Saccharomyces cerevisiae S288C: one gene and its partners. Changing the gene in region 4 together with the main gene of any one other region gives a genetic interaction. Each region holds a gene or a part of one and is shown on either strand. Other genes may lie near its edges. The genes, in order: LSC1, BGL2, ECM25 and CEM1.

Evidence for each region.
Region 1: mutations in CEM1 (region 4) and LSC1 together harm fitness more than expected from each alone (negative genetic interaction), as found in Saccharomyces cerevisiae (4 studies listed by BioGRID).
Region 2: mutations in CEM1 (region 4) and BGL2 together harm fitness more than expected from each alone (negative genetic interaction), as found in Saccharomyces cerevisiae (3 studies listed by BioGRID).
Region 3: mutations in CEM1 (region 4) and ECM25 together harm fitness more than expected from each alone (negative genetic interaction), as found in Saccharomyces cerevisiae (2 studies listed by BioGRID).

The regions. Positions count from the first base shown.
Region 1 is NC_001147.6:591,230-599,341, forward strand, and holds LSC1 (succinate--CoA ligase (GDP-forming) subunit alpha), read left to right. Parts: upstream 1-1,827; coding exon 1,828-2,817; downstream 2,818-8,112. Other genes in the region: ARP8 (Arp8p), read right to left, coding at 1-1,358; YOR142W-A (gag protein), read left to right, coding at 3,883-5,205. UniProt on the Saccharomyces cerevisiae protein: Succinyl-CoA synthetase functions in the citric acid cycle (TCA), coupling the hydrolysis of succinyl-CoA to the synthesis of ATP and thus represents the only step of substrate-level phosphorylation in the TCA.
Region 2 is NC_001139.9:1,054,212-1,062,109, reverse strand, and holds BGL2 (glucan 1,3-beta-glucosidase), read left to right. Parts: upstream 1-3,385; coding exon 3,386-4,327; downstream 4,328-7,898. Other genes in the region: ZUO1 (zuotin), read left to right, coding at 1-258; protein ERV29, read left to right, coding at 520-1,452; UPA1 (putative methyltransferase), read left to right, coding at 2,070-3,095; ATP-binding cassette transporter YOR1, read right to left, coding at 4,853-7,898. UniProt on the Saccharomyces cerevisiae protein: Glucanases possibly play a role in cell expansion during growth, in cell-cell fusion during mating, and in spore release during sporulation. This enzyme may be involved in beta-glucan degradation and also function biosynthetically as a transglycosylase.
Region 3 is NC_001142.9:50,677-59,719, reverse strand, and holds ECM25 (Ecm25p), read right to left. Parts: upstream 5,342-9,043; coding exon 3,542-5,341; downstream 1-3,541. Other genes in the region: aconitate hydratase ACO2, read left to right, coding at 907-3,276; PRP21 (Prp21p), read right to left, coding at 5,537-6,379; RCY1 (Rcy1p), read left to right, coding at 6,569-9,043. UniProt on the Saccharomyces cerevisiae protein: May be involved in cell wall organization and biogenesis.
Region 4 is NC_001137.3:274,545-282,731, forward strand, and holds CEM1 (fatty acid synthase CEM1), read right to left. Parts: upstream 5,083-8,187; coding exon 3,754-5,082; downstream 1-3,753. Other genes in the region: FCY21 (purine-cytosine permease), read left to right, coding at 23-1,609; FCY22 (purine-cytosine permease), read left to right, coding at 2,028-3,620; glycerol-1-phosphatase GPP2, read right to left, coding at 5,386-6,138; THO1 (Tho1p), read left to right, coding at 7,166-7,822; VHR2 (Vhr2p), read right to left, coding at 8,161-8,187. UniProt on the Saccharomyces cerevisiae protein: Possibly involved in the synthesis of a specialized molecule, probably related to a fatty acid, which is essential for mitochondrial respiration. Is essential for oxygen uptake and the presence of cytochromes A and B.

The DNA of each region.
Region 1 (8,112 bases), on a different chromosome or scaffold from region 4:
ACCAACACGACCTTGTACTGATTAAATTTGGTAGGCTTAACGTTTAAAGTCTCTGAGTTAAGTGCATGCTCCAAAAGCTTGGTAACGTCTGAGATTAATTCTGCCAACGATTTATAATATGGTGACTTGACATTAAAAGAGCCACCTCTGAAAGGCTTTCTAATAACAAATTTTTCGTCCACGCACCTCAATGCATCTGAACCATAGTATAATTTTGAGTCATCAAATATCCATTCTATAGGAGATGGATCATTTTTCTCTGAAATAATCTCAGGTTTGGAATTTTCATTGAAAGATACTACCTGTTCGTGAGCATTACCTGGTACCTTTCTTTTATAATACCTCATACGTTCTCTAAAATTCTTTTCCATCTCCGACTTTATGTTGTTAAACTCTTCTGACTGTTCTCTTTGAAGGCAAACGTTTTCAACATGTTCACTATTTTCAAGATCCAGCCATTTTTTAGGTACCGCTACACAATTTGGAACTACGACAGGATGGTCATCTTTGGGAAATCCTATCTTTATAGAATTTGATCCAGGATGTATCACGATAGTTGCTGTTGGATCATTTAGATCTATCTCGTCATTAAGTGGTGCTGCACTCGCTTCTGAGTGGGGCAAACTCTTTAAATCTATAACATCTGGTGTGTTGGTACTAGATATTTGGCTAGTGTTGTTATTTCTCAAAAATTTTCTATCTCTAAGTGCAAATATTTGATCGTCTTTTTTCAGATAATCTGATGAGTAGTTTTTTTGGTTGATTAACATTAAAGGTTGGAACAGGCCAGTGGCAGGTAAAGTAGTTGTCTCCACTTTCTCAATGCCAATTTTTTTCAACGTCTTGGCAAATTCTTCAGCAGCTTTAATACGTCCTAGTCTCCTCTTCTCCAAAAGATGTAGCGGGACTTTCTTCCCGGGAGGTGCTTTTGCGGGATCTAGCTTCGGATATTTCTTATAACGTTTACTAGTCTGCACAGCAGGTGGTGCCCTCTTATCTCTAGAGCTCCCTAATTCATTTTCATTTTCGTTGGCATTATCATTATCATTTTCGTCCTCATTGTCAACATCATTGTCGTCTTCGTCTTCATCTTCGTCTTCCCCTTCTTCATCTTCATCTTCTTCGTCTGCAACGTCTCTTGGGTCAACAGAAAGACCTGTTACACTTCTGGGTGTCTCAGATCCAACTACGTTATCGACACTATCGTCTGACTCATTCTCCGCATTTTCTTGATCCGCCTGGCTGCTTAAAGGTACGCTATTTTCTTCTTCCAGTTCATCCTCATCGTCATCATCCTCTAACGGAATATCAATGGGTTCCTCATAAATAATACTGGATTCTGCTTCTTCTTGCGACATGTTAGGTGCGATTGTATCCCTGTATTTATGTACTATTGACTAGTAATTTACCTGAAAGTGTTTGCTACTTCGTGGGCGTTCATCATCTCCATTTATTCATATTGCCATTCTCAAATAAGTCATCTTGCACGGCCCAACCAGCGGCTGGATAACGGATCTACCCCAACCTCGGACCCAAAGTTGCTGCTATAAAAACAGAAACAAAAAAGGCGTTTCTCGAGACTGATATCCAGATGGTAATAGAGCCCTTAAGTGCTTTGCAATTGTCAATTAAGTATCCTTGTTCGAGAGTTGTTCACAGCACACTGCGTATATATAGGCTTACCACAGTTGGATTTAATCAAGCGATATAAAAGCTGGAAGGAGACAAGTTTCCCCTAATTGTTGTTCTGTTTGTTACTTACCACTCTATATACGTTCGATTTCATAGAAAATTTCTTTTGCAGACCATTTATTCTTCAGTTTGATAATGTTAAGATCTACCGTTTCAAAAGCTTCTCTCAAAATTTGTCGTCACTTTCACAGAGAATCTATTCCTTACGATAAGACGATCAAAAATTTGCTGCTTCCCAAGGACACCAAGGTGATCTTTCAGGGGTTCACAGGTAAACAAGGTACTTTTCATGCCAGCATCTCTCAAGAATATGGTACAAATGTTGTGGGTGGTACGAACCCAAAAAAGGCGGGTCAAACACATTTAGGCCAACCTGTCTTTGCCTCTGTGAAGGACGCGATTAAGGAGACTGGAGCCACTGCCAGTGCCATCTTTGTTCCTCCACCGATCGCAGCTGCTGCCATTAAAGAATCTATTGAAGCTGAAATTCCGTTAGCTGTATGTATCACTGAAGGTATTCCTCAACATGACATGTTATACATTGCAGAAATGTTGCAGACACAAGATAAAACAAGATTAGTTGGGCCCAACTGCCCTGGTATCATTAACCCAGCAACAAAGGTAAGAATTGGTATCCAGCCCCCAAAAATTTTTCAAGCTGGTAAAATCGGTATTATTTCCAGATCGGGAACTTTGACATACGAAGCTGTTCAGCAAACTACAAAAACTGACCTTGGTCAATCACTGGTTATTGGTATGGGTGGTGATGCTTTTCCCGGTACTGATTTTATTGACGCCTTGAAATTATTTCTAGAAGATGAAACTACAGAAGGTATTATTATGTTAGGTGAAATAGGTGGTAAGGCCGAAATCGAAGCTGCTCAATTTCTCAAAGAATACAACTTTAGCAGGAGTAAGCCGATGCCGGTGGCATCTTTCATCGCAGGAACTGTTGCTGGTCAAATGAAAGGTGTTAGAATGGGTCACTCCGGTGCAATTGTAGAAGGATCTGGAACTGATGCAGAATCCAAAAAACAAGCTTTGAGAGATGTTGGTGTTGCCGTCGTTGAATCTCCAGGTTACTTAGGTCAAGCTTTACTGGATCAATTTGCCAAATTTAAATGATTATATTAGGAAGAGAATGAACTGCTTTCAAAAGAGGAAGACTTCTATGTCTCGATTATTGCTTAGACAAGTATGGAGCTGACATCCGTTTTCTTTTCAGAGCTTTTACTCAACATTCTATGTTAATTTTTCCCTTTGTATATATTCATTTATCCTTATAAATTCTACTAAAAATCTTTTAATAGTGTTTGTATTTAATGTTCTTCTTAACAAGGGTATACATAAAGGTTGATTAAAGCTTAATAATTGAAATGGAAAAAAAAATAACAAAACGTCTGAATTTCCTAGTCTGTTTTGCAAAAACAGATGCGCAAGCCGGGAATCGAACCCGGGCCTCATGCTTGGGAAGCATAAATTCTAACCACTGAACCACTTGCGCGTTTCAATCAATTTGGGAAGACTCAGCACGTTATATACTATTAATGAAAAATTTCCTTCTTAGTAATGACACTGATAAATAGGTAAGTGTTGGAATTAAAATCAACTATCGTCTAACAACTAGTAGTCACACTACCAATATATTATCATACACGGTGTTAGACGATGACATAAGATATGAGAAACTGTCATCGAAGTTAGACGAAGCTGAAATGCAAGGATTGATAACGTAATAGGATAATAAAACATATAGAACAGAAGGAGAAATAATCATAGTATTATTATGTAGAAATATAGATTCCTTTTTGAGGACTCCTATATCCTCGAGGAGAACTACACATAATATTATATATAACCTTTGCCAAAAAAAGGAATGCCAAAAATTATCAAACTATTTGTTGGAATAAAAATCCACTATCGTCTATCAACTAATAGTTATATTATCAATATATTATCATATACGGTGTTAAGATGATGACATAAGTTATGAGAAGCTGTCATCGAAGTTAGAGGAAGCTGAAGTGCAAGGATTGATAATGTAATAGGATAATGAAACATATAAAACGGAATGAGGAATAATCGTAATATTAGTATGTAGAAATATAGATTCCATTTTGAGGATTCCTATATCCTCGAGGAGAACTTCTAGTATATTCTGTATACCTAATATTATAGCCTTTATCAACAATGGAATCCCAACAATTATCTAATTACCCACATATATCTCATGGTAGCGCCTGTGCTTCGGTTACTTCTAAGGAAGTCCACACAAATCAAGATCCGTTAGACGTTTCAGCTTCCAAAATTCAAGAATATGATAAGGCTTCCACTAAGGCTAACTCTCAACAGACAACAACACCTGCTTCATCAGCTGTTCCAGAGAACCCCCATCATGCCTCTCCTCAACCTGCTTCAGTACCACCTCCACAGAATGGGCCGTACCCACAGCAGTGCATGATGACCCAAAACCAAGCCAATCCATCTGGTTGGTCATTTTACGGACACCCATCTATGATTCCGTATACACCTTATCAAATGTCGCCTATGTACTTTCCACCTGGGCCACAATCACAGTTTCCGCAGTATCCATCATCAGTTGGAACGCCTCTGAGCACTCCATCACCTGAGTCAGGTAATACATTTACTGATTCATCCTCAGCGGACTCTGATATGACATCCACTAAAAAATATGTCAGACCACCACCAATGTTAACCTCACCTAATGACTTTCCAAATTGGGTTAAAACATACATCAAATTTTTACAAAACTCGAATCTCGGTGGTATTATTCCGACAGTAAACGGAAAACCCGTACGTCCGATCACTGATGATGAACTCACCTTCTTGTATAACACTTTTCAAATATTTGCTCCCTCTCAATTCCTACCTACCTGGGTCAAAGACATCCTATCCGTTGATTATACGGATATCATGAAAATTCTTTCCAAAAGTATTGAAAAAATGCAATCTGATACCCAAGAGGCAAACGACATTGTGACCCTGGCAAATTTGCAATATAATGGCAGTACACCTGCAGATGCATTTGAAACAAAAGTCACAAACATTATCGACAGACTGAACAATAATGGCATTCATATCAATAACAAGGTCGCATGTCAATTAATTATGAGAGGTCTATCTGGCGAATATAAATTTTTACGCTACACACGTCATCGACATCTAAATATGACAGTCGCTGAACTGTTCTTAGATATCCATGCTATTTATGAAGAACAACAGGGATCGAGAAACAGCAAACCTAATTACAGGAGAAATCCGAGTGATGAGAAGAATGATTCTCGCAGCTATACGAATACAACCAAACCCAAAGTTATAGCTCGGAATCCTCAAAAAACAAATAATTCGAAATCGAAAACAGCCAGGGCTCACAATGTATCCACATCTAATAACTCTCCCAGCACGGACAACGATTCCATCAGTAAATCAACTACTGAACCGATTCAATTGAACAATAAGCACGACCTTCATCTTAGGCCAGAAACTTACTGAATCTACAGTAAATCATACTAATCATTCTGATGATGAACTCCCTGGACACCTCCTTCTCGATTCAGGAGCATCACGAACCCTTATAAGATCTGCTCATCACATACACTCAGCATCATCTAATCCTGACATAAACGTAGTTGATGCTCAAAAAAGAAATATACCAATTAACGCTATTGGTGACCTACAATTTCACTTCCAGGACAACACCAAAACATCAATAAAGGTATTGCACACTCCTAACATAGCCTATGACTTACTCAGTTTGAATGAATTGGCTGCAGTAGATATCACAGCATGCTTTACCAAAAACGTCTTAGAACGGTCTGACGGCACTGTACTTGCACCTATCGTAAAATATGGAGACTTTTACTGGGTATCTAAAAAGTACTTGCTTCCATCAAATATCTCCGTACCCACCATCAATAATGTCCATACAAGTGAAAGTACACGCAAATATCCTTATCCTTTCATTCATCGAATGCTTGCGCATGCCAATGCACAGACAATTCGATACTCACTTAAAAATAACACCATCACGTATTTTAACGAATCAGATGTCGACTGGTCTAGTGCTATTGACTATCAATGTCCTGATTGTTTAATCGGCAAAAGCACCAAACACAGACATATCAAAGGTTCACGACTAAAATACCAAAATTCATACGAACCCTTTCAATACCTACATACTGACATATTTGGTCCAGTTCACAACCTACCAAAAAGTGCACCATCCTATTTCATCTCATTTACTGATGAGACAACAAAATTCCGTTGGGTTTATCCATTACACGACCGTCGCGAGGACTCTATCCTCGATGTTTTTACTACGATACTAGCTTTTATTAAAAACCAGTTTCAGGCCAGTGTCTTAGTTATACAAATGGACCGTGGTTCTGAGTATACTAACAGAACTCTCCATAAATTCCTTGAAAAAAATGGTATAACTCCATGCTATACAACCACAGCGGATTCCCGAGCACATGGAGTCGCTGAACGGCTGAACCGTACCTTATTAGATGACTGCCGTACTCAACTGCAATGTAGTGGTTTACCGAACCATTTATGGTTCTCTGCAATCGAATTTTCTACTATTGTGAGAAATTCACTAGCTTCACCTAAAAGCAAAAAATCTGCAAGACAACATGCTGGCTTGGCAGGACTTGATATCAGTACTTTGTTACCTTTCGGTCAACCTGTTATCGTCAATGATCACAACCCTAACTCCAAAATACATCCTCGTGGCATCCCAGGCTACGCTCTACATCCGTCTCGAAACTCTTATGGATATATCATCTATCTTCCATCCTTAAAGAAGACAGTAGATACAACTAACTATGTTATTCTTCAGGGCAAGGAATCCAGATTAGATCAATTCAATTACGACGCACTCACTTTCGATGAAGACTTAAACCGTTTAACTGCTTCATATCATTCGTTCATTGCGTCAAATGAGATCCAAGAATCCAATGATCTTAACATAGAATCTGACCATGACTTCCAATCCGACATTGAACTACATCCTGAGCAACCGAGAAATGTCCTTTCAAAAGCTGTGAGTCCAACCGATTCCACACCTCCGTCAACTCATACTGAAGATTCGAAACGTGTTTCTAAAACCAATATTCGCGCACCCAGAGAAGTTGACCCCAACATATCTGAATCTAATATTCTTCCATCAAAGAAGAGATCTAGCACCCCCCAAATTTCCAATATCGAGAGTACCGGTTCGGGTGGTATGCATAAATTAAATGTTCCTTTACTTGCTCCCATGTCCCAATCTAACACACATGAGTCGTCGCACGCCAGTAAATCTAAAGATTTCAGACACTCAGACTCGTACAGTGAAAATGAGACTAATCATACAAACGTACCAATATCCAGTACGGGTGGTACCAACAACAAAACTGTTCCGCAGATAAGTGACCAAGAGACTGAGAAAAGGATTATACACCGTTCACCTTCAATCGATGCTTCTCCACCGGAAAATAATTCATCGCACAATATTGTTCCTATCAAAACGCCAACTACTGTTTCTGAACAGAATACCGAGGAATCTATCATCGCTGATCTCCCACTCCCTGATCTACCTCCAGAATCTCCTACCGAATTCCCTGACCCATTTAAAGAACTCCCACCGATAAATTCTCGTCAAACTAATTCCAGTTTGGGTGGTATTGGTGACTCTAATGCCTATACTACTATCAACAGTAAGAAAAGATCATTAGAAGATAATGAAACTGAAATTAAGGTATCACGAGACACATGGAATACTAAGAATATGCGTAGTTTAGAACCTCCGAGATCGAAGAAACGAATTCACCTGATTGCAGCTGTAAAAGCAGTAAAATCAATCAAACCAATACGAACAACCTTACGATACGATGAGGCAATCACCTATAATAAAGATATTAAAGAAAAAGAAAAATATATCGAGGCATACCACAAAGAAGTCAATCAACTGTTGAAGATGAAAACTTGGGACACTGACAAATATTATGACAGAAAAGAAATAGACCCTAAAAGAGTAATAAATTCAATGTTTATCTTCAACAGGAAACGTGACGGTACTCATAAAGCTAGATTTGTTGCAAGAGGTGATATTCAGCATCCTGACACTTACGACTCAGGCATGCAATCCAATACCGTACATCACTATGCATTAATGACATCCCTGTCACTTGCATTAGACAATAACTACTATATTACACAATTAGACATATCTTCGGCATATTTGTATGCAGACATCAAAGAAGAATTATACATAAGACCTCCACCACATTTAGGAATGAATGATAAGTTGATACGTTTGAAGAAATCACTTTATGGATTGAAACAAAGTGGAGCGAACTGGTACGAAACTATCAAATCATACCTGATAAAACAGTGTGGTATGGAAGAAGTTCGTGG
Region 2 (7,898 bases), on a different chromosome or scaffold from region 4:
GCCGCCAAGAAAAAGAACAAGAGAGCCATCCGTAACTCTGCTAAGGAAGCTGACTACTTTGGTGATGCTGACAAGGCCACCACGATTGACGAACAAGTTGGTTTGATCGTTGACAGTTTGAATGACGAAGAGTTAGTGTCCACCGCCGATAAGATCAAGGCCAATGCTGCTGGTGCCAAGGAAGTTTTGAAGGAATCTGCAAAGACTATTGTCGATTCTGGCAAACTACCATCCAGCTTGTTGTCCTACTTCGTGTGAATACCGTAAGAAATGGAATAGAATATATACGAATGTATACGAATATTATAGAGAACGTTCTCTTTTATTTCTATAATGAATAGGTTCGGGTAACGGTTCCCTTTTTAGGTATTTCTAGAAGATGAGAGAAGAGGGAATAATGAGAAAGGCGAAAAATAAAGGACACCTTTAACGAAAGATCAAAGGTGTCCTTATTTACTTACAATAGCTGCAATTAGTACGACTCAAAAAAAGTGAAAACAAAACTGAAAGGATAGATCAATGTCTTACAGAGGACCTATTGGAAATTTTGGCGGTATGCCAATGTCATCATCGCAAGGACCATACTCTGGCGGTGCACAATTCAGATCAAACCAGAACCAATCCACTTCTGGCATCTTAAAGCAATGGAAGCATTCTTTTGAAAAGTTTGCCTCCAGAATTGAGGGGCTCACTGACAATGCAGTTGTTTATAAATTGAAGCCTTACATTCCAAGTTTGTCAAGATTTTTCATTGTGGCCACCTTTTATGAAGATTCGTTTAGGATCTTATCACAATGGTCAGATCAAATTTTTTATCTGAATAAGTGGAAGCATTACCCATACTTCTTTGTCGTTGTGTTTCTAGTGGTTGTTACCGTTTCCATGTTGATTGGCGCCAGTTTGTTAGTTTTAAGAAAGCAAACCAATTATGCCACCGGTGTGTTATGTGCTTGCGTTATTTCTCAAGCATTAGTTTATGGGTTGTTTACGGGTTCATCATTTGTCCTAAGAAACTTTAGTGTTATTGGTGGGTTGTTAATTGCATTCAGCGATTCAATTGTTCAAAACAAGACAACATTCGGTATGCTTCCTGAATTAAACAGCAAAAACGACAAAGCGAAGGGTTACCTGTTGTTTGCTGGTAGAATTTTAATTGTTTTAATGTTTATCGCTTTCACTTTCAGTAAATCATGGTTTACTGTTGTTTTGACCATTATCGGCACAATATGTTTCGCCATTGGTTACAAGACAAAATTCGCATCCATTATGTTGGGTTTGATACTAACTTTTTACAATATCACGCTAAACAACTACTGGTTTTATAACAATACTAAGAGAGATTTCTTGAAGTATGAGTTTTACCAGAACTTAAGCATCATTGGTGGGCTTCTATTAGTTACTAATACTGGCGCTGGTGAATTATCCGTTGATGAAAAGAAGAAGATTTACTAGATTGTAAAGGAAATCTTTTCTTTATGTCCCTTCTGTTCACTCATCTTCTAACAATCTATTTCGTTTTGCCTTCTTGTGATCGCTTTCAATACCCTGCTAGCTCACATATATACTTTTCTTACTGTCATATCTACATAAAAGATTTCTTTTTGTATAGGCGCACTTAACGAAATTTGATTGGTCTCACGTTGGCTTGTATATTCTACCTTCAATCAATGTGGTTATATCGCACAGAATTCCCTTGTATTATGATAGAACTTATTTATTGTAATTAGTTTTGATTTGACCATTTTCGTTGGTCCGTAATTGTTTTACACTGTCACTGCTTAAATCATTGAAGAGATGCTCTTGAGATAGCATCCGCTCTCCTATCTTTCCAAAGAAACGCTTTAAAGTCGCTTTAAGCAATCTCTAAAGTTTAAAAATTCCTAATAAATAGCTCTTTAGCAACTATTGTAAACCGCAATAATGGGCACACCCAAACATATTATTTGAAATTTTTTCCACCTCATCGCTTGAAAACACCATGTTGAAATTGGGATATTAAGTAGAGGAGGTAATTGATACCAATGAGGTGAAACACATCTACCAAGGGAAGTGTAGCATAATAGGGGAAGATGGCAGTAAAACATAAATCCGAGAGCCTTAAGCACGAAGAGGGGGCTGCCAAAAAGGCAAAGACAGGCCTATTGAAGCTAAAAAAAATCATGGATATAGAATCTAATGTGGTCAAATATTCCATATGCATACCGACAACTGTTATCGACAATTGTAATAATTTGGAGCAAGTTACATTTACTGCATATCAAATAGCTCGGACAGCTGTATTGTTCAATGTTCAAGAAATCATAGTTCTAGACCAGTCAAAAGATAAAAAGCATGAAAAAAAATCAAGATCAAAGGAGACTATCTCTGATTGTTTATTACTTGCCACACTATTACAATATTTTGTAACGCCTCCAAACTTACTGGATACTACATTCAAAAAAAAAAACAAGTTATATTTAAAGTGTGCATCTACCTTTCCGCCATTGAACCAGCTACCTTTTATGAACGCATCTGCCGAACAACACTACAAGGAAGGCTTATCAATCGCACGAGATAGCTCAAAAGGTAAATCTGATGATGCTCTAACAAATTTGGTGTATATAGGAAAGAATCAAATTATTACGTTATCTAACCAAAATATTCCCAATACTGCGCGTGTAACAGTTGATACAGAGCGCAAAGAAGTAGTGTCACCCATAGATGCTTACAAAGGAAAACCACTCGGCTATCATGTTCGAATGGCAAGCACTTTGAATGAGGTGTCCGAAGGTTACACAAAGATCGTTTGGGTCAACAGTGGTGACTTCCACTACGACGAAGAGTTGTCAAAGTACCACAAGGTAGAAACAAAGCTACCATACATCGCAAAACTGAAAAAAAGTTCAACATCAGAAAAACCCTGTAATATCCTGCTTATCTTCGGGAAATGGGGCCATTTAAAACGTTGTTTCAGGAGATCTGACTTAGAATCCTCTTCTTTGCATCATTACTTTTCTGGTCAACTGCAATTCCCTGCTTCCGTACCCCAGGGAAATATACCCATTCAAGATAGCCTACCCATAGCTCTTACCATGTTTCAGCGTTGGGCAAGTTGAAATAAATAGCAATTAATAACTGATATTACTATTTATGTTATATAATCATCGTTTTCTACGGATATGCAGTTCTATTTTTAGTAAAAGAAACGTTAAAATTTTTCTTTCAGTTTTTCGCCCTGAAAAAGAGAAAAATGTCACGAAGAAAACAAGAGGATATTTGTTTATTTTGATTTTAACTGCCTCCTTATAAAGAAACTTTTCCTCATTCACAATTTGGACTTCTTCTTGTTTTTTTCAATATAAGTTTATTGAGATAGACAACTAACCAAAAAGAAAAACGGTCAAAGATGCGTTTCTCTACTACACTCGCTACTGCAGCTACTGCGCTATTTTTCACAGCCTCCCAAGTTTCAGCTATTGGTGAACTAGCCTTTAACTTGGGTGTCAAGAACAACGATGGTACTTGTAAGTCCACTTCCGACTATGAAACCGAATTACAAGCTTTGAAGAGCTACACTTCCACCGTCAAAGTTTACGCTGCCTCAGATTGTAACACTTTGCAAAACTTAGGTCCTGCTGCTGAAGCTGAGGGATTTACTATCTTTGTCGGTGTTTGGCCAACAGACGACAGTCATTACGCTGCTGAAAAGGCTGCTTTGCAAACCTATTTGCCAAAAATTAAAGAATCCACTGTTGCTGGTTTCTTGGTTGGTTCTGAAGCCTTATACCGTAACGATTTGACTGCCTCTCAATTATCAGACAAAATTAATGACGTCCGTAGTGTCGTTGCTGACATTTCCGATTCTGACGGAAAGTCATACTCTGGTAAGCAAGTCGGTACTGTCGATTCCTGGAATGTTTTGGTTGCTGGTTACAATTCTGCCGTTATCGAAGCTTCCGATTTTGTTATGGCTAACGCGTTCTCCTACTGGCAAGGTCAAACCATGCAAAATGCCTCTTACTCATTCTTTGATGATATTATGCAAGCTCTACAGGTTATCCAATCTACTAAAGGTTCTACCGATATTACCTTCTGGGTTGGTGAGACCGGTTGGCCAACTGATGGTACCAACTTTGAAAGTTCTTACCCATCTGTTGACAACGCCAAACAATTCTGGAAAGAAGGTATCTGTTCCATGAGAGCTTGGGGTGTTAACGTTATTGTTTTTGAAGCCTTTGATGAAGATTGGAAGCCAAACACCTCTGGTACCTCTGATGTCGAGAAGCACTGGGGTGTTTTCACTTCAAGTGACAATTTGAAATACTCCTTGGACTGTGACTTTTCATGAACGCTTTAAAAATACTCTTTAAACAAGAATGGCTTTTTCCTTCTGTTTAGGTGAGGAATAAGCAAAAAGTAACAAAAAAAAATGTTATCCCTTCTTTTCTTCCTTATTTAGGCTTTATTTTATCTTTCACTTCTTTTACGTATTTGAAATATCCTTCGGTTTTAGGATTTTCACTTCTAAGTTTTCTATTTTATGCCTTCCATTTTAAATTCGTATTTTGTGTATACTTTATTCAGTAAACAGACATCCCAATAAGTTCTTTGAATATCTTCTGAAAATGATGTATAAATATATATTTCTAGAATGAAAAAGGACCGAAGGCGTTGTCCAGTTTGCCTCATAAAAAATGAAATGTTCTTTTCGGAATTTTGAGTATACAATGTGGGTATGCAATTATATCTATCTATGGCACACATAACTTTTTCTGCAAGTCATAGTAGTGGGTTTTCTTTTCTAGTACTAATTTGTACCATCGGCAACATATAAATAAATAAAAGAGAAAAATCATGCAACAAATAATATAAATTAACTTCTGTTCTCGAAATCATTTTCCACAATACCAGATCTAGAACACATGCTTCTGAAAATACTATCTTCTTGACTAAACAACGTCCATGGTGTATCGAATTCTGCGACTTCACCCTTCTCTAAAACAAGAATACGATCATAATTTACAATGGTCTTCAGTCTGTGAGCAATACACAAAATTGTACAATCTCCAAATTCCTCAACAATACGTGTTTGGATTTTGCCATCCGTTTCGTAGTCCACTGAGGATGTAGCCTCATCCAAAATCAATATTTTTGATTGGCGGACCAATGCCCTTGTTAATGCTAATAGTTGTCTCTCACCTAAGGAGAAATTGGAGCCCTCTTCTTCCACTGCTTGATCTAAATGGAACTTATGCATTTTACCATGAGTACCATTTTCATCAGGTTTTTGCAATTTCACTTCCGGCAAGTCATCCTTGGCGATAGCACCACCTCTCACCAATGCATCCCATAATTCGTCATCTGTACGCTCATTAAATGGATCTAAGTTCTTGCGAATCGTACCCCTAAATAATACTGGATCTTGTGGAATGATGGCTAATTTTCTTCTTAAATCGAAAAGTCCCAGCTGACTTATATCAACATTGTCAATTAAAATTTTACCTGCGGTCAATTCATTCAACCTGTAAAGGGCACTCATAATAGTGGACTTACCAGCACCTGTACGACCACAGATACCAATTTTTTCCCCACTCTTGATATTCAAGTTAAGATTTTTTAAAACTATAGGTAAACCAGGTCTATAGGCAAAATCAACATTTTCAAAAATTATTTCGCCCATTGAGGGCCATGACTCTGGAGGTGTCATTTCGGGCTTTCTATAGGATGCCTCTAGTGGTAGTTCAGTTGCATATGTTACCAATCTTTCGGCACTATTCATGTCATTCTCTGTTTGAGTCATTGCCCTTAAAATGGTATTTAATAGACCAGGCAATTGTAATACATAAGTCAACAAAACACCAACTGAAGCCGCGGAAATAGGAAAGGCTCTCGTAACACACAATAACGTAATAATTAGTGCAAATGCGATAGCAACCATATCAAGGAAAATACCTACCCATCTTTGCAGGACAACTACAAGGTATCCCGCCTCATTCATCTTGTTGATCAAAAAATCTGATTTCGCCAAAAATCGTTCCTGACTTCGGTATGCTTTGATTGTATCCATCCCACCCAAAACTTCATTTAAATTATTGTAAACAAAAGACCGTTGCACAGCTTCAAGTCTTTTAATTTCTCTACCAGAACTCTGATAATGATCAGCAATCAGAACAAAGATGACCAAAAGAAACGGAATTGCGATAGCAAACCACGGCAAGTAAACAATACACATGACGCAAACACCTACAATATTAGCAAATTGAGATGTCATCAACCGTAAACTTTCGGTTAACTCATTATCTAAGCTATCTGTATCTTTTGTGAATCTGTTCAGAATACGTCCCAAAGGTGTGGTATCTATGTATGACATTGGAGTGTGTAAAATTCTTTTCACAGCCCTCAAATTTAACCATTTCGATGCCATAATACCCATTGCGCAAAGTATGGTGAACTGGCCATTCATGAATATGAAAGCAGCAAACACAAAGAAGGAGTAAAGACCCATATAAAAACTGGGTGGTCTGTTTTTGAATTTATTCTCAGTCCAGTAAGATAACCAAACGGAAGAAAAAAGTGAGCAGAATGTGGTTCCAACGACTAAAATTGCATACAACGGTAGTGCGATAAAACCCCACTTACCTACTGCAGCTTTAATGTATTCACGGTATATTTTCAGACTGATACTATTGACTGCTCTTTCTTCTTTACTACTAGTATGACCATCCGCTACAATTTTACCACTATTTGCAGTTTGTGACATTTCTGTAGCCTTTTTCTTCAGTTCAGTCAATTCCTTTACCTCTGATTCATATTTTAGTTGTCCCAATTCACCGGCAACAACCGCTTCCTGTTCTTCATCCTCTTTCTCCGAATTTTGAGAAGAGAATTGTAAAAGATTTATCAAAGTTTGATTACGAGCTTTTAGCTCATCAACAGTACCAATATCGACTTGGCCATCAGTACCTAAAACGATGACTCTAGAAGCTCTCTCAATCAGTGACAATTGATGCGTTGCTAAAATTCTGGTTTTATTAGCAAGCATTCCGGTTAGACATTCATCCATGATGTGTTTACCAACACGAGAATCGACAGCACTTAGGACATCGTCGAATAGATAAATATCCTTCTTCTTATAAACAGACCTGGCTAAATTGATACGTGCCTTTTGACCACCAGATAAAGTAATACCACGTTCCCCAATTTCGGTCATATCGCCTGCCGGTAAAATATCCAGATCAGCTTTCAAAGAGCAAACACGAACTACTTCATCATACTTTTCTTTATTGAATGGTGAACCGAATATGATGTTATCTCTTACAGATGCATTTTGAATCCATGGATAACCACACATTAATAAGTCCCCGTTGACTTCAACCTTACCATCAGTTTTTCTCATTGATCCTGCCATCGCATTCAATAATGAAGATTTACCAGTACCAATAGGTCCCGTAATCATAATAAATTCGCCCTTTTTAATATCGAAGTTCAAGTCCTTGAAACCCCTAAACGAAGTTTTTTCTAAATCTTCCGGGCCGTCTCTGTCTTTCAACATATTGTCCAATCTTTTCGCCTTATTAGTACTTGCAGATGGCTTACCCCATGTATCCTTACGCTTTTTTTTGTTCTTTTTACCTTCATCTTTAGCTTCTCCTTTTGCTTCTTCAATAGCGTCGTTTAATTCATAATCTTCCCACTCAAATGAGCAATGTGTCATTTTTAAAGCCAATTTTGGATCAAAGCCAGGAGAAGGCTTCATTTCAATCATCTGATTTGGATCATCTTCTGGAGCCTCCAATAAGCTTTGCAAACGGCCCAATCCAATGATCATGTCAATTCCAGTACCAATAGCAATAGGTAAGAAAAACATTTGCAAACTCAAGACCTGAAATAAAGATAAAGAGGCAAAAATATTACCAGGT
Region 3 (9,043 bases), on a different chromosome or scaffold from region 4:
GTATACAGAATATACTAGAAGTTCCCCTCGAGGATATAAGAATTCTCAAATGGAATCTATACATACTAATAATACGACTATTCCTCATTCCGTTTTCATATGTTTCGTTCCTATTACACTATCAATCCTTGCATTTTCAGCTTCCATTACATTTGATGACTGATTCTCAATCTTTATGTTATCTTTTTACACCACATGTGATAGTATACTACTAAACAGTATGCGGTAGCTATACTCTTTAATGAATGGGCGAAGCCTCCCTAGTATTTTATCTTGACATATCTAAAGGATTGCACAATATTGCGATTTGTTCTCCACAATGAAACCTTCTCAATAATTGTCCGATCATCCACCCATTTCTTAAGATGATAGACGATTCTTAGTCCAATAACATTGTATCCTTTACGTTCCGTAGAATATCATGTTGTTGATCCTCTTCTCAGCACAGTGCTTATTACTCTCACATCAACATCAAAAAAATTGCTTCATGATTAAAATGTTTGTGGAATATAACCGTTAAAATAGGTCAGGCAAATATAAAATAGAAGCTTCTATGGCCAAGTTGGTAAGGCGCCACACTAGTAATGTGGAGATCATCGGTTCAAATCCGATTGGAAGCATATATTTGATTTTTTAGCAATTAATTTTTTTTTTTTTTTTTTTTTCACGCTCTTGAGTCATCGCGAGTAAAATTCCACTGGAAAATTTTTTCAATATATACAAAGTTCCACAATATCATACAGCTCTCACATCGTAGATTATGTCAATAGATGGTATGGCATCAAACATGTATATAAACTAAAATATTTTCATCTTTTCGTATTATTCGATTTGCGCACTTGCAAAAATAAGAATTTTCGACTTTCTTTAAACATAAAACTCTAAGAGCAATAAGCAAGAGATTCGATGCTATCTTCAGCTAATAGGTTTTATATAAAGAGGCATTTGGCAACACATGCCAATATGTTCCCCTCTGTATCTAAAAATTTTCAAACAAAAGTGCCACCTTATGCAAAACTTTTGACCAACCTAGACAAGATTAAACAAATAACAAACAATGCTCCATTGACACTAGCAGAAAAAATTTTATACTCGCATCTTTGCGATCCTGAAGAATCGATTACTTCTTCTGATCTGTCCACCATCCGTGGTAATAAATACTTGAAGCTAAACCCAGACCGTGTAGCTATGCAGGACGCTTCTGCCCAAATGGCGCTTCTACAATTCATGACCACCGGTCTAAATCAAACATCTGTCCCAGCATCCATACATTGTGATCATTTAATTGTAGGTAAGGACGGTGAAACTAAAGATTTACCCTCTTCCATAGCTACCAACCAAGAAGTTTTCGATTTCTTGGAGAGTTGCGCAAAGAGATATGGAATTCAATTCTGGGGCCCAGGTTCTGGTATCATTCACCAGATTGTTTTGGAAAATTTCTCAGCTCCAGGTCTAATGATGCTAGGTACTGATTCCCATACACCAAATGCAGGCGGTCTGGGAGCTATTGCCATCGGGGTTGGTGGTGCGGATGCAGTTGATGCCCTCACAGGCACTCCATGGGAATTAAAAGCACCAAAAATTTTAGGTGTTAAATTGACCGGAAAGTTAAACGGATGGTCCACTCCTAAAGATGTAATCACAAAGCTCGCTGGTTTACTAACTGTCAGAGGTGGTACTGGTTATATCGTCGAGTACTTCGGCGAAGGTGTATCCACTCTATCTTGCACAGGTATGGCAACCATCTGTAATATGGGAGCTGAAATCGGTGCTACAACGTCAACTTTCCCTTACCAAGAAGCTCACAAGCGTTATTTGCAAGCAACTAATAGAGCAGAGGTCGCTGAAGCAGCTGATGTTGCTTTAAACAAGTTTAACTTCTTAAGAGCCGACAAAGATGCTCAATACGATAAAGTTATTGAAATTGACTTATCCGCAATTGAACCTCACGTTAATGGTCCATTTACACCAGACCTTTCAACCCCAATATCTCAATATGCCGAAAAAAGTTTGAAGGAAAACTGGCCCCAAAAAGTTAGCGCTGGTTTGATTGGATCATGTACCAATTCATCTTATCAAGACATGAGTCGTGTTGTCGACTTGGTCAAGCAAGCTTCCAAAGCCGGCTTGAAACCACGTATCCCCTTCTTTGTCACCCCTGGTTCAGAACAAATTAGAGCTACCTTGGAAAGAGATGGAATCATCGATATTTTCCAAGAAAATGGTGCCAAAGTTTTAGCAAATGCATGCGGCCCTTGTATCGGACAATGGAATAGGGAAGATGTCTCGAAAACATCAAAAGAAACGAACACTATTTTTACATCATTCAATAGAAATTTCAGAGCTAGAAACGATGGTAATAGGAATACAATGAATTTCTTAACATCCCCAGAAATAGTAACAGCGATGAGTTATTCTGGAGATGCTCAGTTCAATCCGCTAACTGACTCAATTAAATTGCCAAATGGGAAGGATTTCAAATTCCAACCACCAAAGGGTGATGAGTTACCAAAAAGAGGATTTGAACACGGTAGAGACAAATTTTATCCTGAAATGGATCCAAAGCCAGATAGCAATGTAGAGATTAAGGTAGACCCTAATTCTGATCGTTTGCAATTATTAGAGCCATTCAAACCTTGGAACGGGAAGGAATTGAAGACAAACGTGCTTTTGAAAGTTGAAGGTAAATGTACAACAGATCATATTTCCGCTGCGGGCGTCTGGTTGAAATATAAAGGCCATCTAGAAAACATTTCTTACAATACATTGATTGGTGCACAAAACAAAGAAACCGGTGAAGTCAACAAGGCTTATGACCTTGACGGAACTGAATATGATATTCCTGGTTTGATGATGAAATGGAAATCAGACGGTAGACCATGGACCGTGATAGCGGAACATAACTATGGTGAAGGTTCCGCAAGAGAGCATGCTGCTTTGTCACCAAGATTTTTAGGCGGAGAGATTCTTTTAGTTAAGTCTTTTGCAAGAATTCATGAGACAAACTTGAAGAAACAAGGTGTGTTGCCATTGACTTTTGCCAACGAATCTGACTATGATAAAATATCAAGCGGAGATGTTTTAGAAACGTTGAACCTAGTTGACATGATTGCTAAGGATGGTAATAACGGTGGTGAAATTGATGTTAAAATTACTAAACCAAACGGTGAATCGTTCACCATCAAGGCAAAACATACTATGTCTAAAGATCAAATCGATTTTTTCAAAGCTGGTTCAGCAATCAATTATATTGGTAATATACGAAGAAACGAATAAATTCTGAAGAGATATTAGCTAAAAATTAAGAGTCCGATTTAATAGTCATAAGCTAGTTTACACAATTCTATAGACTCTGCATATAGACGGTGCAAATAACCTACCTATTTATTTATTTATTTACTATAAAAAACGTAATATTGTTTGATATATAATATTATACACGAGATCTCGACTGCTTCAACTACGGCTTAACTCAAGGGTGGGGGGTATTTTGTTGTCGTATATGCAATATGTATGTGTTAAAAAGATACAATTATGTAAGTTACCACCTTTGTTTCATTTCATTCATTACTTGTAAACCTTGTAAACGTTCTTCGTACAATGCAGCTAGCCTGCTAACCTTGTTGCTTGCTTTAATATCTGAATATCCCTTTTGAGAGAATTTATCTGCTGTCTTTGAAGTAGTTTCATTTTTCTTCTTCTTTTCTTGTAGTTCTTTGTCGAACTTCTTAATCTTCGCGTTTTGGACGAGGGTTAAACTTTCAAACTGTTGTACGAATATATCTGTTTCCACAGAATTTTTATCCTTTGCTGGCTCGTCCTTAACCATTTCTTTGATATTATCTGATATCGTTAAATCGGTGCTGCTGTTACTCAATGGAAGCGAGTCTGCTGATGGAGTCTTCGTCGGTGAGGATAATGTATCTGTAGAAGAAGAAGCTAATGCCAAATCTGTATTAGAATTGGAAGTTAGAGACAGTTGTGGTCGTGTAACTGCCTTAATAGGAAGTGGAGGTTTGGCATTGAATGATGGGGATGAAACATTTCTGCTTGAAGACTTAGGTTTCAAGACTGGTGTATTTTGTAATGCGACAGGTGTGTACGTTGGAGACGTAACAGATCTTTGTGGACTAGGGCTTCGACTTCTAGGAAGGGTTAAGCAGCCTAGTTCACTGTATCTGGTTGGCGACGACTTCCTTGGCTTAGGCAAAACAGGGATAGTAGAAGACGATGATACGGATGAAGGAGGTGATGATATTTCCTTCGCGATTTCGGGGAAAAAGTCCAGTAAATTTTTAATATATCTCGACCCAATAGCTAAACGATCATTAGTCATCATGGAAAGTTTTTCCTTACATAACGCCGGAGTTAAAGCTTTACTTAGGGTCCTTGAATCATGTTTAGTCGATTCACCATGCGCTATGATCCTATTAAAAAAAGGAATTATGACCATAAAGAGGTCCTGGTATTGGTTGAATTTAATAATTTTGCGGAATGTTTCACTTGTGAACTTTAGATCATCAACAATTGGTAACGGAATTAATTCAATTGGGATTAGAGGTTTGGCTTTATTCTTAATGAAGTAATTCAACCACACGGATGCCAAAGAATAAATATCCCATTGAGATAAATCAATGTAGTTGTTTCTTTTGATAATATCCAAAAAAATGTTTACCTTTTTATAGTTTCCCGGCTTCTGGAATATCAATTCACACAACAGAGCGTCATTCTGTAATTTCTTGAAAATTTTATCGAATACTAACTGCCTATACTGTCTTATTGCCAGAGGGGTCAATCTGTTATAATATTCCTCCGGGACATTTATATGTTCGCGTATCTGGTAATCATATAAGTACACGTTCAACGATATTCTAAGTCGCGTAATATCTATTAGCTCGGATAAAGAAGTCAGGTCCAAGACATGAACTAAACTTGGAAAATCATGCTGACTATCTTTTGAGTCCAAGAAGTTAAAGTTCATAGCGTTTGAAATTACTTGATAGACCGACCTAACGAAGAATGACTCATGAACAATAAAAATCTTTTGTAAATAGAACTTGGTCTCTTTGGGTAACTTTGCAAACATTTTAATACCGTAAACCCAGCTTATTTTTCTCTGGGAAAACCCAGATGAAAAAATCACCAGTGAATATGGTGCCTGTGGCAATTTCATTACCAATCGATCCATGAGGGCATTAATAAGCAAGTCATAAACTTGCTTATCGCCAATTTCATCAGATGCTGGCAAATAAGTCGAATCAAAGACATAAATTGCGTGACCAGAGTTAGGATCAACTGAATAAGATCTAAAAAATATGTTATTAACGTTGATATCTATCATCCTGGCCTTCTTTCACGCTACCAATAGTATTATCCAGTAGGGCCATATCCTCGAGAATTTCACTTTCTATATACAAAATAACATCAACATGAAAAAACGCCAAAATACGTACGCCGTTAATAGTGATACATGTGCTCAATTACGGTGCATCATCAACCTTTACATACTTCTAGCTAACTTTGATTTTCATGAGGCTTATTTTTTACTTTTCTTTAACCTTGTCTCTCCCACAGCTCTAATTTTACGCTTTTTGCCCTTACTATCTCCTCCTTTTTGCTTACCTTGGTCGGATACTATCTTTTCTTCTTCATTTGTCGGCTTGATACTATCGAATAACTTAATACCAGTTTGTACTCTTCGCAGCCTCATCTGTTCTAAATCTAGAGAGCCTTCGAAGATTTCTGTGTCTTCAGGGATAGAAAATTTTGCCACTTGAGTAAATTTATCCCATGGAATGGCTGCAAATTGTATTTTGCACAACTCTACGAGCTTATCATGTTCCCGGTCTTTATCTTTCTCAAATTCCCAATACTGTGTTCTCTCAAAACAATTATCTAAAATGGTTCTCTTACTTTTCTTGATTTCTTGACCAGTAAAAGAATATACTCGCTTGTACTGGGCGACAAAATCAGTGAATGTCTTATGTAGCGGATGTGAGCTGTTCATAAAGTTTAATCTGGCTTCACCATCCTTTGAAATCATCTGTTCAACAATACTTTTATCCTTTGCATAGTAGCGTGCTGTCAATTTGATTACTTCCATGTCTCTTCGGGATATTCCAGTATCATATTGAGAGAACAGAAAATCCGGCGGCCTTGCTATCTCTCGCTCACTCTTTCTGTCATTATCTTCACCGCTGACAGTGTCTGTTGGCTCATTCATGAGTTTGGTGTAGTATTCATGGAGTGGGTCATCTTTCTTGATGAATGAGAATCTCTCATCTTCTAGCAGTTTGTTCTCAAACTCAACACCATGCTGCTTTATGTAATTTACTGTGGTTTTAATGTCCTCTTTCAGCTGGGTATCTTCTGGTTCCATTTATACAACTGCAAATTATTGCTGTTAGTTTTACGCTTTACCTTATTTCTTCCTGTATTTAAGTGTTTCAAGGCTAACTTTTGCCGAAATATTTCGTTGAAGGAAGGTTCTTATTTTATCAAAAAATGGTCAACAGACAAACAATAGAAAAACCAAAAGAAAACAAAAGCTTTTGAGGAAATCGGTAAAATGGATGATCTGCTAAAAGTTCCCGAGATTGTAACCAATATTGCCTCATATTTATCTACTGTAGATTATCTGAGTTTTCAACAAGTGAATAAACGGGTTTATGCAATCATTAACGGCAAAAATGATTCAAAGTATTGGTCATTGAAATTGACTAGAATGGGTCTCCAACAGGTGCATTCAAATGAAGAAGAAGAAATTACGTTGCTGGATGAAAATGATAATCAAAATTCCCTTCGCATCTTCGAAATATACAAATCTTTCACTGCTCAAAATTCTAAAAAAATCTTTGTGAAATTTTACCGTTGTTATAACTCATACGCTAGGAAGCTATATAATAATAATCTAGCAAATTTCTTTCCTACTTCATATTCCAACGATCCGTTGAAACAAACAAGAATTCTAAATTTTATCAAAAAGTACAATTTCTCGAATAAAAATGATATAGAAACATTTACTAGGATTGAAACTAATTTCAACATTCTTAGGGAAATCTTCATTAATTCTGTTCTCAAAGAGTCAGAATTGAATTACCAGTCTAATAATTTAGCTGCCGTCGCTCGTTTCATGAAAATTTTATTGATATCTAATGAGGAAAGCAATGCTATCGAATTTTTCAAGTCAAAGGCTGATTTGCCTCCCAGTTTAACGGTTTTGCCGTCTAATGATGAATTATTTTGGGCCGAACAACCAAGGGAAGAGGACAGCGGTGGGAGTACCGTGATATTTAATTCTAAAAATTTAGATACGTTTCTCAATCAGCTAAGGGATTTCCTCAACGAAAAGATTAAATTAGCGGACATTTTATTCAAAGATGAGTTCCCTGTAATATTACAGTTCATCGAGTCCTTTATCCAAGATATTTTATTAGATATTTTAAACAATATCTTATTAAGCTATAGTGAATTTTTAAAAGAAAATGGAAAGGATAGTAAAGCCAATTATGAATGCGTACCCGAACTTTATTTCACATTTATAAAAAAGTTTGATACTGAATTAAACGACTCAGTAAACGCAGGCGCAAATTTCCGTAAAGTTGTTCGTGACCTTTTAAACCTGTATCTCGAGCCCTTTGTTGTCAACTATATGAATCAGACAACTAGAGTATTTGAATCATTGATCAACTCACAATTAGCTAATTATGACACACAAGTTCAAGACAAGCAGCGTGAGCAAAACGCAAAAATTTATAACACTTTAAAAGATCAAACGGATGCTTCGAGTGCAAGTAACAATGAATTGCCGAATGACCTCTCAATAATTACTGAAACCTCCAAAACTGTCCCAGAAGCGGATTCAAAACCAAGTACGATCCATCAATCAGTTCATTCAACTGATATTTCTAATGATAAACTAGACTTTCTAAGTTCCTTCACCAAGATTTTCAAGTTCTCGAACAATGAAAATCAAAGGCTAAAGCAACAACTACAACTAGCCTACAACTTAAATTTAATTTCCAATAACTTGCAAAACATTAAATCGTTAATAAGTCTCGATTTATGTTACAAAATTTTACAGGAAACAAGCGAAAAGACGGATCAAATTTACAAATTTCATACGATTGAAAGTTTGCTACCATTGATCAAGCTACGCTGTCAAGAGATTTTCAAAATTTTAATTACACAATTGAATAAAAATCACGTTAAACCTGCATTTGAAAAGGCAATCCTGCTACTACAAAAATATAATCCTAACGAAATAGAACAAATAGAAATAAAATTCAATTCACTTTCGCCAGCCAATACTCAAGTCGAACCTTTAGTACAATTCACTGAACTTATCAATATAGGTGACATAATATTACAAATGATTTCCATTTTTTACAAGAACGAATTGATTCCCAAAAAAATTATCGATAAAAATAAAGATTTTCTTAATGATGTTATCCAATTAAAAAAAAATTTTGAGACTTCTATCGATGATTTTGTAGCCGAAGGTTTAAATATCGGTATAAACAAACTAATGGATGAAATCTCATTTGTATTCAAGACTCTTCAATTGCCTGACGATTATAATCCACCGCCACCCTCTAGGAATTCTCCAATAAGGGATATAAAGCCAACCAAATGTGCTATCAGGGTAGTCGAGTTACTTTCTAATCATTGCTTTCTACTGACTGGTGCCACAGACAAGGGTACTATTGACGTGTACCAACAAGAAATTGGCGAGAGATTCTTTAATGAAATCGTCAAACATCTGAAGAAGTGCTTCATATCTACGGAGGGCGCAATTTGGTTAATCTGCGATTTAAATTACTTTTACGATTTTATTGCTAACAAATTAAAACAAAAAAATGTTGTTCCCTATTTTGTTGGGCTTAAGTCTATTGGCCAGTTATACATCATTTCAGGCAAGGACTCGAAAGAGTTGGGAAAGCTTATTTCTGATCTTGGGAAATTCAATGGCATTTTTACGCAAGAGGAAATTTATGAATTTGTTCAGAGGAGAAGCGATTGGGTTCGTGTACGGAAAGACGTT
Region 4 (8,187 bases):
TATTATAAAAGGGCTAACAAATATGCCTCAAACGCACGAAATGTCCCTGAACGGCACTCAATACTTAAAATATGAACTTAAAGACCTTGAGTCTCGAGCTCACGATGCAAAGACTCCTTCAACAAATGAATTCTATGATGATGTAGAATCGCACGGAACAGAAGAATTAGTTGAAGCTAAACTGTCGTTTTTGAACAGAATTGCTGCTGGTTTAAGTGCCGAGACAAAGGGTATTGAACCGATTACAGAAGATGAAAAAACTGATGATTCTATACTGAACGCTGCATCTATGTGGTTTTCAGCAAATATGGTTCTGCCTGCTTATGCCATTGGCGCCCTAGGGCCTATGGTGTTTGATCTAAATTTCGGCCAAAGCGTTTTCGTTATTATTTTCTTTAACCTCTTAGGCTTGGTATCAGTTGCTTTCTTTTCTGTTTTCGGTGCAGAGCTGGGCCTAAGACAGATGATTTTGTCTAGATATTTAGTTGGCAATATCGCAGCCAGGATCTTCTCTTTCATCAATTTTATTGCCTGTATCGGTTGGGGTATCGTTAATACCGTAGCAAGCTCGCAAGTCCTGAATATGGTTAACCCCGGTCATCAATGTCCTCTCTGGGCTGGTTGTATAGTTATTATCGGTGCTACTGTAATTGTAACTTTTTTCGGCTATGGAGTCATTCATGCTTACGAGAAATGGGCGTGGGTACCAAATTTTGCCGTTTTTTTGGTAATAATTGCTCGTTTGGCAAGGTCTAAAAAATTTGTCCTTGGGGAGTGGACATCTGGTCCTACTACAGCAGGTAACGTGCTTTCATTTGGATCAACAGTTTATGGGTTTGCTGCAGGCTGGACAACATATGCGGCTGACTATACCGTTTATATGCCAAGGAAAACGAACAAGTATAAAATTTTTTTCTCGCTTGTAGTTGGGTTAGCAACACCATTATATTTTACTATGATACTTGGTGCAGCTGTAGCAATGGCAGCTATCGGCGATCCAGCCTGGAAGACGTATTATGACGAAAATTCCATAGGTGGTTTAACTTTTGCCGTTCTTGTCCCTAATTCTGTTCACGGATTCGGTCAGTTCTGTTGCGTGTTATTGTCTCTGTCCACTATCGCTAATAATGTTCCCAACATGTATACTATTGCTTTATCGGTGCAAGCCACGTGGGAACCTCTTGCGAAAGTCCCAAGAGTTATTTGGACTTTATTAGGCAATGCGGCCGCACTGGGTATTGCCATTCCTGCCTGCTACTATTTTTCTACCTTCATGAATTACTTCATGGATTCCATAGGTTATTATTTGGCTATTTATATTGCCATTGCATGTTCAGAGCATTTTATTTATAGGCGTTCCTTCAGTGCTTACAATGTTGATGATTGGGATAGTTGGGAACGTCTACCTATCGGCATTGCAGGTACTGCTGCCTTAATTGTTGGTGCCTTTGGCGTAGCGTTGGGTATGTGCCAAACTTATTGGGTTGGCGAGATCAGCCGTTTGATCGGAGACTACGGTGGTGATATTGGATTCGAGTTAGGACTAAGTTGGGCATTTATAGTTTACAACATTGCTAGACCCTTTGAGCTCAAGTACTTTGGTCGTTAACGAAAGTTCATTTAAATGTTTCGCTATTTTAGTCTTTGTAATGTAACATAAATGGCTCTAGTATGCAAATCATTAAAAAATAGCATGTATGTTAATTAAATTATCACGGCTCATTCATTTGAGTTGATAACGCAATTCTGATAAGCATATCACGTGACTGTGGTTCTAAGAGTTACTCCGATCGCCAGTAAATACTTTATGAGACGTTGCATTATTTCTGTTTAGTTGATAAATTTTGATTTCTAGTCTGTTGAAAGCCTAATGCATGCAGATGACATAAATGTAGTCTGTTTTTGCACTGGTGATTTGTAAACCAGACAAATATATAACATGATAACCAAATTGTTTGTTATAAGATACGCTTGTCAGATTGAAATGGAGGGTGTTTCAGAAGGTGACTAAAATATCGAAGAAAAGTATGCCAGAAAAGTTAGCCATGTCAATGGTCGATATAAAAGATGCGGGGAGTGAACTAAGGGACCTCGAATCTGGAGCTCTGGACACAAAATCTTCCGCCGCTGATGTATACTATGAGGGTGTAGAATTGCATAGAACCAACGAATTCATTGATAATAAGCCGTCCTTTTTCAATAGGATTGCAGCTGCTTTAAATGCTGAGACGAAAGGTATTGAACCAGTTACAGAAGATGAAAAAAATGATGACTCGATACTCAATGCCGCCACTATATGGTTTTCAGCTAATATGGTGATTGTAGCCTATTCCGTAGGTGCCTTGGGTCCTCTAGTATTTGGCCTAAATTTCGGCCAAAGTGTTTTAGTTATCATTTTTTTCAATATTTTGGGTTTGATCCCTGTTGCATTATTCTCACTTTTTGGGGTAGAACTGGGCCTAAGACAGATGATTCTATCGAGATATTTGGCTGGTAACATCACAGCAAGATTTTTCTCTCTTGTTAATGTCATTGCTTGTGTCGGTTGGTGTGTTTTAAATATTTCTGTTTCTGCTCAACTTTTGAATATGGTGAATGAAGGCTCTGGGCACAACTGTCCTATTTGGGCAGGTTGTTTGATTATTGCTGGTGGTACCGTGCTTGTGACTTTTTTTGGTTACAGTGTCGTTCATGCATACGAAAAATGGTCGTGGGTACCCAATTTTGCTGCCTTTTTGGTCATTATTGCCCAACTATCGAGATCAGGAAAATTTAAAGGTGGTGAATGGGTAGGGGGTGCAACTACTGCAGGTGGTGTTCTTTCTTTTGGTTCATCTGTTTTTGGGTCAGCTGCGGGTTGGGCGACTTATGCAGCAGATTACACTGTTTATATGCCAAAGACCACAAGTAAATACAAAATTTTTTTTTCCGTAGTAGCCGGTCTAGCGTTCCCTCTATTTTTCACCATGATTCTTGGTGCTGCTTGCGGTATGGCGGCCCTTAATGACCCAACCTGGAAGTCATATTATGATAAAAACGCCATGGGTGGTGTCATATATGCTATCCTGGTCCCTAACTCTCTAAACGGATTCGGTCAATTCTGCTGTGTTTTGTTGGCTCTTTCAACTGTTGCTAATAATGTCCCTGGAATGTACACTGTCGCTTTATCCGCTCAAGCTTTGTGGGCACCTTTGGCTAAAATACCAAGAGTAGTCTGGACAATGGCAGGTAATGCTGCCACTTTAGGTATTTCCATCCCTGCTACCTATTACTTTGACGGCTTTATGGAGAATTTTATGGATTCCATTGGTTATTATTTGGCTATTTATATTGCCATTGCATGTTCAGAGCATTTTATTTATAGGCGTTCCTTCAGTGCTTACAATATTGATGATTGGGATAATTGGGAGCATCTACCTATCGGTATCGCAGGTACTGCTGCCTTAATTGCTGGTGCCTTTGGAGTAGCGTTGGGTATGTGCCAAACTTATTGGGTTGGTGAGATCAGTCGTTTGATCGGAGAGTACGGCGGTGACATTGGGTTCGAGTTAGGCGGAAGTTGGGCGTTCATCATCTATAACATTGTAAGACCTTTAGAACTCAAATATTTCGGTCGATGACTAAATGTTAATTGATTAATATTTTTGCTAATCATTGAAATGATTGGTTTTAATGGATAAATCTCGACATTCGAATAGATAGCATATAATTCAAAAACGATTATAATGGGATATATATATAAGTTTAATAATATTAACTCCCTTCCCATTTCTTGAAGAGAAGAGATGTGTTAACTCCTCCAAATCCGAAGCTGTTGCATAATGCGTACTTCGGATTAGCTCCCACAATAGGTTTGTCTCTTATGAAATGTAGCTTATCGGCCTCGTTATTTTCTAGAGTCAGAACATTGTCCAGGTTTAAGGTATGCGGCATCTTATCATCCTTCAAGGAACAAATTGTAAATATACTTTCTACGGCGCCAGCTGCACCTAAAAGATGGCCAATTGCACCTTTGTTACTGGATATGTACAGTGGCTTGCTTTTGGATCTTCCTGGTAAGAGTGCTGAGGCTACTGCCAGACACTCTGCTTTATCGCCTAGTAAAGTTGATGTAGCATGTGCATTGACGTAGTCAACATCAGTTGGTTCTAATCTAGCCATTTTTAGAGCCATCTCTATTGCTCTTTTGGCACCATTTCCATCAGCAGGAGGGGAGGTAATATGGCAGGCATCACTGCTTAAACCATAGCCCACGAGCTCAGAAATTATGTTTGCATTTCTCTTTTGAGCATGTTCTAGCGATTCCATGACAATCATTCCGCATCCTTCACCAAGTACGAATCCAGAACGTTGTGTATCAAAGGGTCTAGAGATCCCGTTTGTAGTAATCGACTTTGCTCTGATGAAACCTGCTAAACTTAACGGATGCAAACTCGTTTCACTTGCACCGGCGACACAGATGTCTTGCATGCCTAACCGAATAAAATTGAATGCATCGCCAATGGAGTTATTACCTGTTGCGCATGCTGTGGAAACACTATGGGATAATCCTCTAAGGTTAAACTTGATGGAAACATTACCAGCTGCCATATTTGTAAGGATTTTAGGGACGAAATATGGATTTATTCTTTTATTGTCGTTATGGAATTGTAGAGAAGTTTGGTATATGTCTTGAATGGATCCTATACCAGAACCTATCAGGCAACCAAAGTGATCCAGATTGCACAGAGATGTATTGATGGTTATATCATTTGGGTTCAAGAGACCAGCATTGTGAAGCGCTTCATAAGTTGTACGTAGTGCTAGCTTGATAAAGCTTGAGGTTCTTCTCTCATCCTGGCTAGTGAACAGCAGTTTATTGATGGCTGAATTTTCGTTTTGAAAATTCTCTGGAATCTTCCCCACTGTTATCGTTGATGGGATACTTTTTTCTCTGAGTTTGTAGTCCTCATTATAGTTGGGCAAAGATGTGATTGGTGTGAGTCCATTTTTGGAAGAGAGCAGATTCCCCCATGACTCACTTAATGATCTTCCCAACGGCGTTACACAGCCCAATCCTGTGATAACCACTCTTCTTGACATTTCTTTACTAGAAATTAAATTTTAATCCGTTGTGGCTCCTGTCACTTTCAAGTTGCTAATAACCTGATAACGTTTAAGGATTTTACTTCCTTTTTTATCATTTATTTTTCTGAGATGAGACAGAGTCAGAAATAATAGCACACTATATGTTTTAAAAAAAAAAATCTATCTACGTATTTATTTAATCAATAAGATGTGATTTTATAAATGTGTCGTTTTTTAGCATCATTACTTGTTTTGTGGCGAATATAGAATAGGACTGTATCTGAGAATTATTACTCAAATATGTTCGATTTTAGAGGATTACCATTTCAACAGATCGTCCTTAGCATATAAGTAGTCGTCAAAAATGAATTCAACTTCGTCTGTTTCGGCATTGTAGCCGCCAACTCTGATGGATTCGTGGTTTTTGACAATGATGTCACAGCCTTTTTCCTTTAGGAAGTCCAAGTCGAAAGTAGTGGCAATACCAATGATCTTACAACCGGCGGCTTTTCCGGCGGCAATACCTGCTGGAGCGTCTTCAAATACTACTACCTTAGATTTGGAAGGGTCTTGCTCATTGATCGGATATCCTAAGCCATTCCTGCCCTTCAGATATGGTTCTGGATGAGGCTTACCCTGTTTGACATCATTAGCGGTAATGAAGTACTTTGGTCTCCTGATTCCCAGATGCTCGAACCATTTTTGTGCCATATCACGGGTACCGGAAGTTGCCACAGCCCATTTCTCTTTTGGTAGAGCGTTCAAAGCGTTGCACAGCTTAACTGCACCTGGGACTTCAATGGATTTTTCACCGTACTTGACCGGAATTTCAGCTTCTAATTTGTTAACATACTCTTCATTGGCAAAGTCTGGAGCGAACTTAGCAATGGCATCAAACGTTCTCCAACCATGCGAGACTTGGATAACGTGTTCAGCATCGAAATAAGGTTTGTCCTTACCGAAATCCCTCCAGAATGCAGCAATGGCTGGTTGAGAGATGATAATGGTACCGTCGACGTCGAACAAAGCGGCGTTAACTTTCAAAGATAGAGGTTTAGTAGTCAATCCCATTCCGAATATTGTTTTTATTGTTTTATGTTTTTCCACTGATCTGGTAAACACTAGCTGGTTGGCGCTATTAATATGAAAAGAGTTAGACCAAATTGAGTAGAAAAGAAACCTTTGGCAATCCTAACTATGTTGTTTTAGCTTGTGTATTTAAGCGCATATATATATATTTCTGAAAATGACAACATCAAAAGAAACGAACTTATTTAGAATAAAAAGAAACGACTTGGCTTCTTATTATTCCTACTTTACGTCACGTGGGAGGCCCGTTTAGGGGGGCAGCTATGTAGTTTTTCCGAGCGTACTTTCTTTCAGCATCCGAAAAGTCCTCACTTGACGGCTTACACGGAAACGCCGCGGATTGTGGGGCACAGATGATGACGCAGACGGAACACTGCAGAAATCTTTTTACCTTGTCGTTAAAGACGATATTAGAGAGAAGAGTTTGGCTGGGGACAAAGTGCCAGCTTTTCGTTCAGGGCGAGGTGCCAAAATACTTGAGAAGGCCAAACCCCAAAGGACAGGGCCAAATACGTACGCTACGGTAATATCTAATGGGAGAGGGTATAACATTGACCATTTTCGAAGGAGGCATAGGAATTTAGACGCTGATGGATGTTATCAATATTGAAGTTTTTCACCGTTTCCCTCTTTCTCTGCTCCTTTAAAGAACGCAAAGTCTCCTCTTGAGAGAAAGCAGACGATTGGAATTGGTATCTTTCACGTAGCATTGCTTAACCTACGGCCATATTAATGATATGAAGTCATATGAAAATGGCCGAGGCCAGCGGTTCATTCGAGGATATATATTTTATTACCCGGCGTCTCTAGCCGAAGTAAGAAAACACAATGCAACCAGCGTTGGTGGAAGGGCGTGATAATGCTGAATGGGAGAAGAAAGTTGAATAGTGACTCTTCAAATGTGTCCTTTCAGGATGCGCTACTTTCAGAAGTTACAAAGATATCTGTATATTGAATAGAATTTTTTTCACCACTAGAATTGTTCTTGGAGCCAGCACAAGCACTTACAATGGCAGATTATTCTTCCCTTACTGTTGTTCAATTGAAAGATTTACTGACCAAGAGAAATCTGTCTGTAGGCGGATTGAAGAATGAACTAGTTCAAAGACTGATAAAGGACGATGAAGAATCAAAGGGTGAAAGTGAAGTTTCTCCACAGGAACAAAACCAGGAACAAGGGTCAGAACCTGCGGCGATAGAAGAACCAGCCTCCCAGAACATTACTGAAAAAAAGGAAGTTTCAAGCGAGCCTAAAGAAACAAACGAACCCAAGGAGGAAAATAAGGACGTTCAAAAGCCCTCTGATGGACCTTCTGCTACTGCTTCAGAGAACGAACAAGCTGCTGCTTCCACTGCTGCTCCCGCTTTGTCACCAGAAGAAATTAAGGCCAAAGCATTGGATCTTTTAAATAAGAAACTGCACCGCGCTAACAAATTCGGTCAAGATCAAGCGGATATTGACTCTTTACAAAGACAGATAAATCGTGTGGAGAAGTTTGGTGTTGACTTGAATAGCAAGTTGGCTGAAGAACTGGGCCTTGTCAGTAGGAAAAATGAACCTGAAAGTGGCAATAACGGTAAATTTAAAAATAGAAACAAAAATGCAAACAACCGCTCCAGAGTAAGTAAAAACAGGAGAGGCAACCGCTCTGGTTACAGAAGATAAAGGCTCAAGCCGTTTTGGTGGAGTTTTTCATTCTAGTTTCGGTTCTTTCCCACTTTTTAAACGACCGCAGTTGTTTGTATATGAAGGTGCAAAATTTGTTGCATACGTAAACATGTGTAGATTATTCTAAATAAATCTGTGTTATTAAATCCGAAGAGTCGGCGGTTCACTGTATTACACATACAGTGGCTGTCAACGTTGTAAAGTGCTAGTAGAGAATGAGCGGCGAGATTTACAGACTGAACATTCTTGTACAAGTTACAATGATGATAGAGGAAAAATAAGCTATGATAAATAGTTCATAGTAATGCAGGTGGGGATGATGCAAGCGGGCCTATTTATTTTGAAATAGTACTGAATGGTTT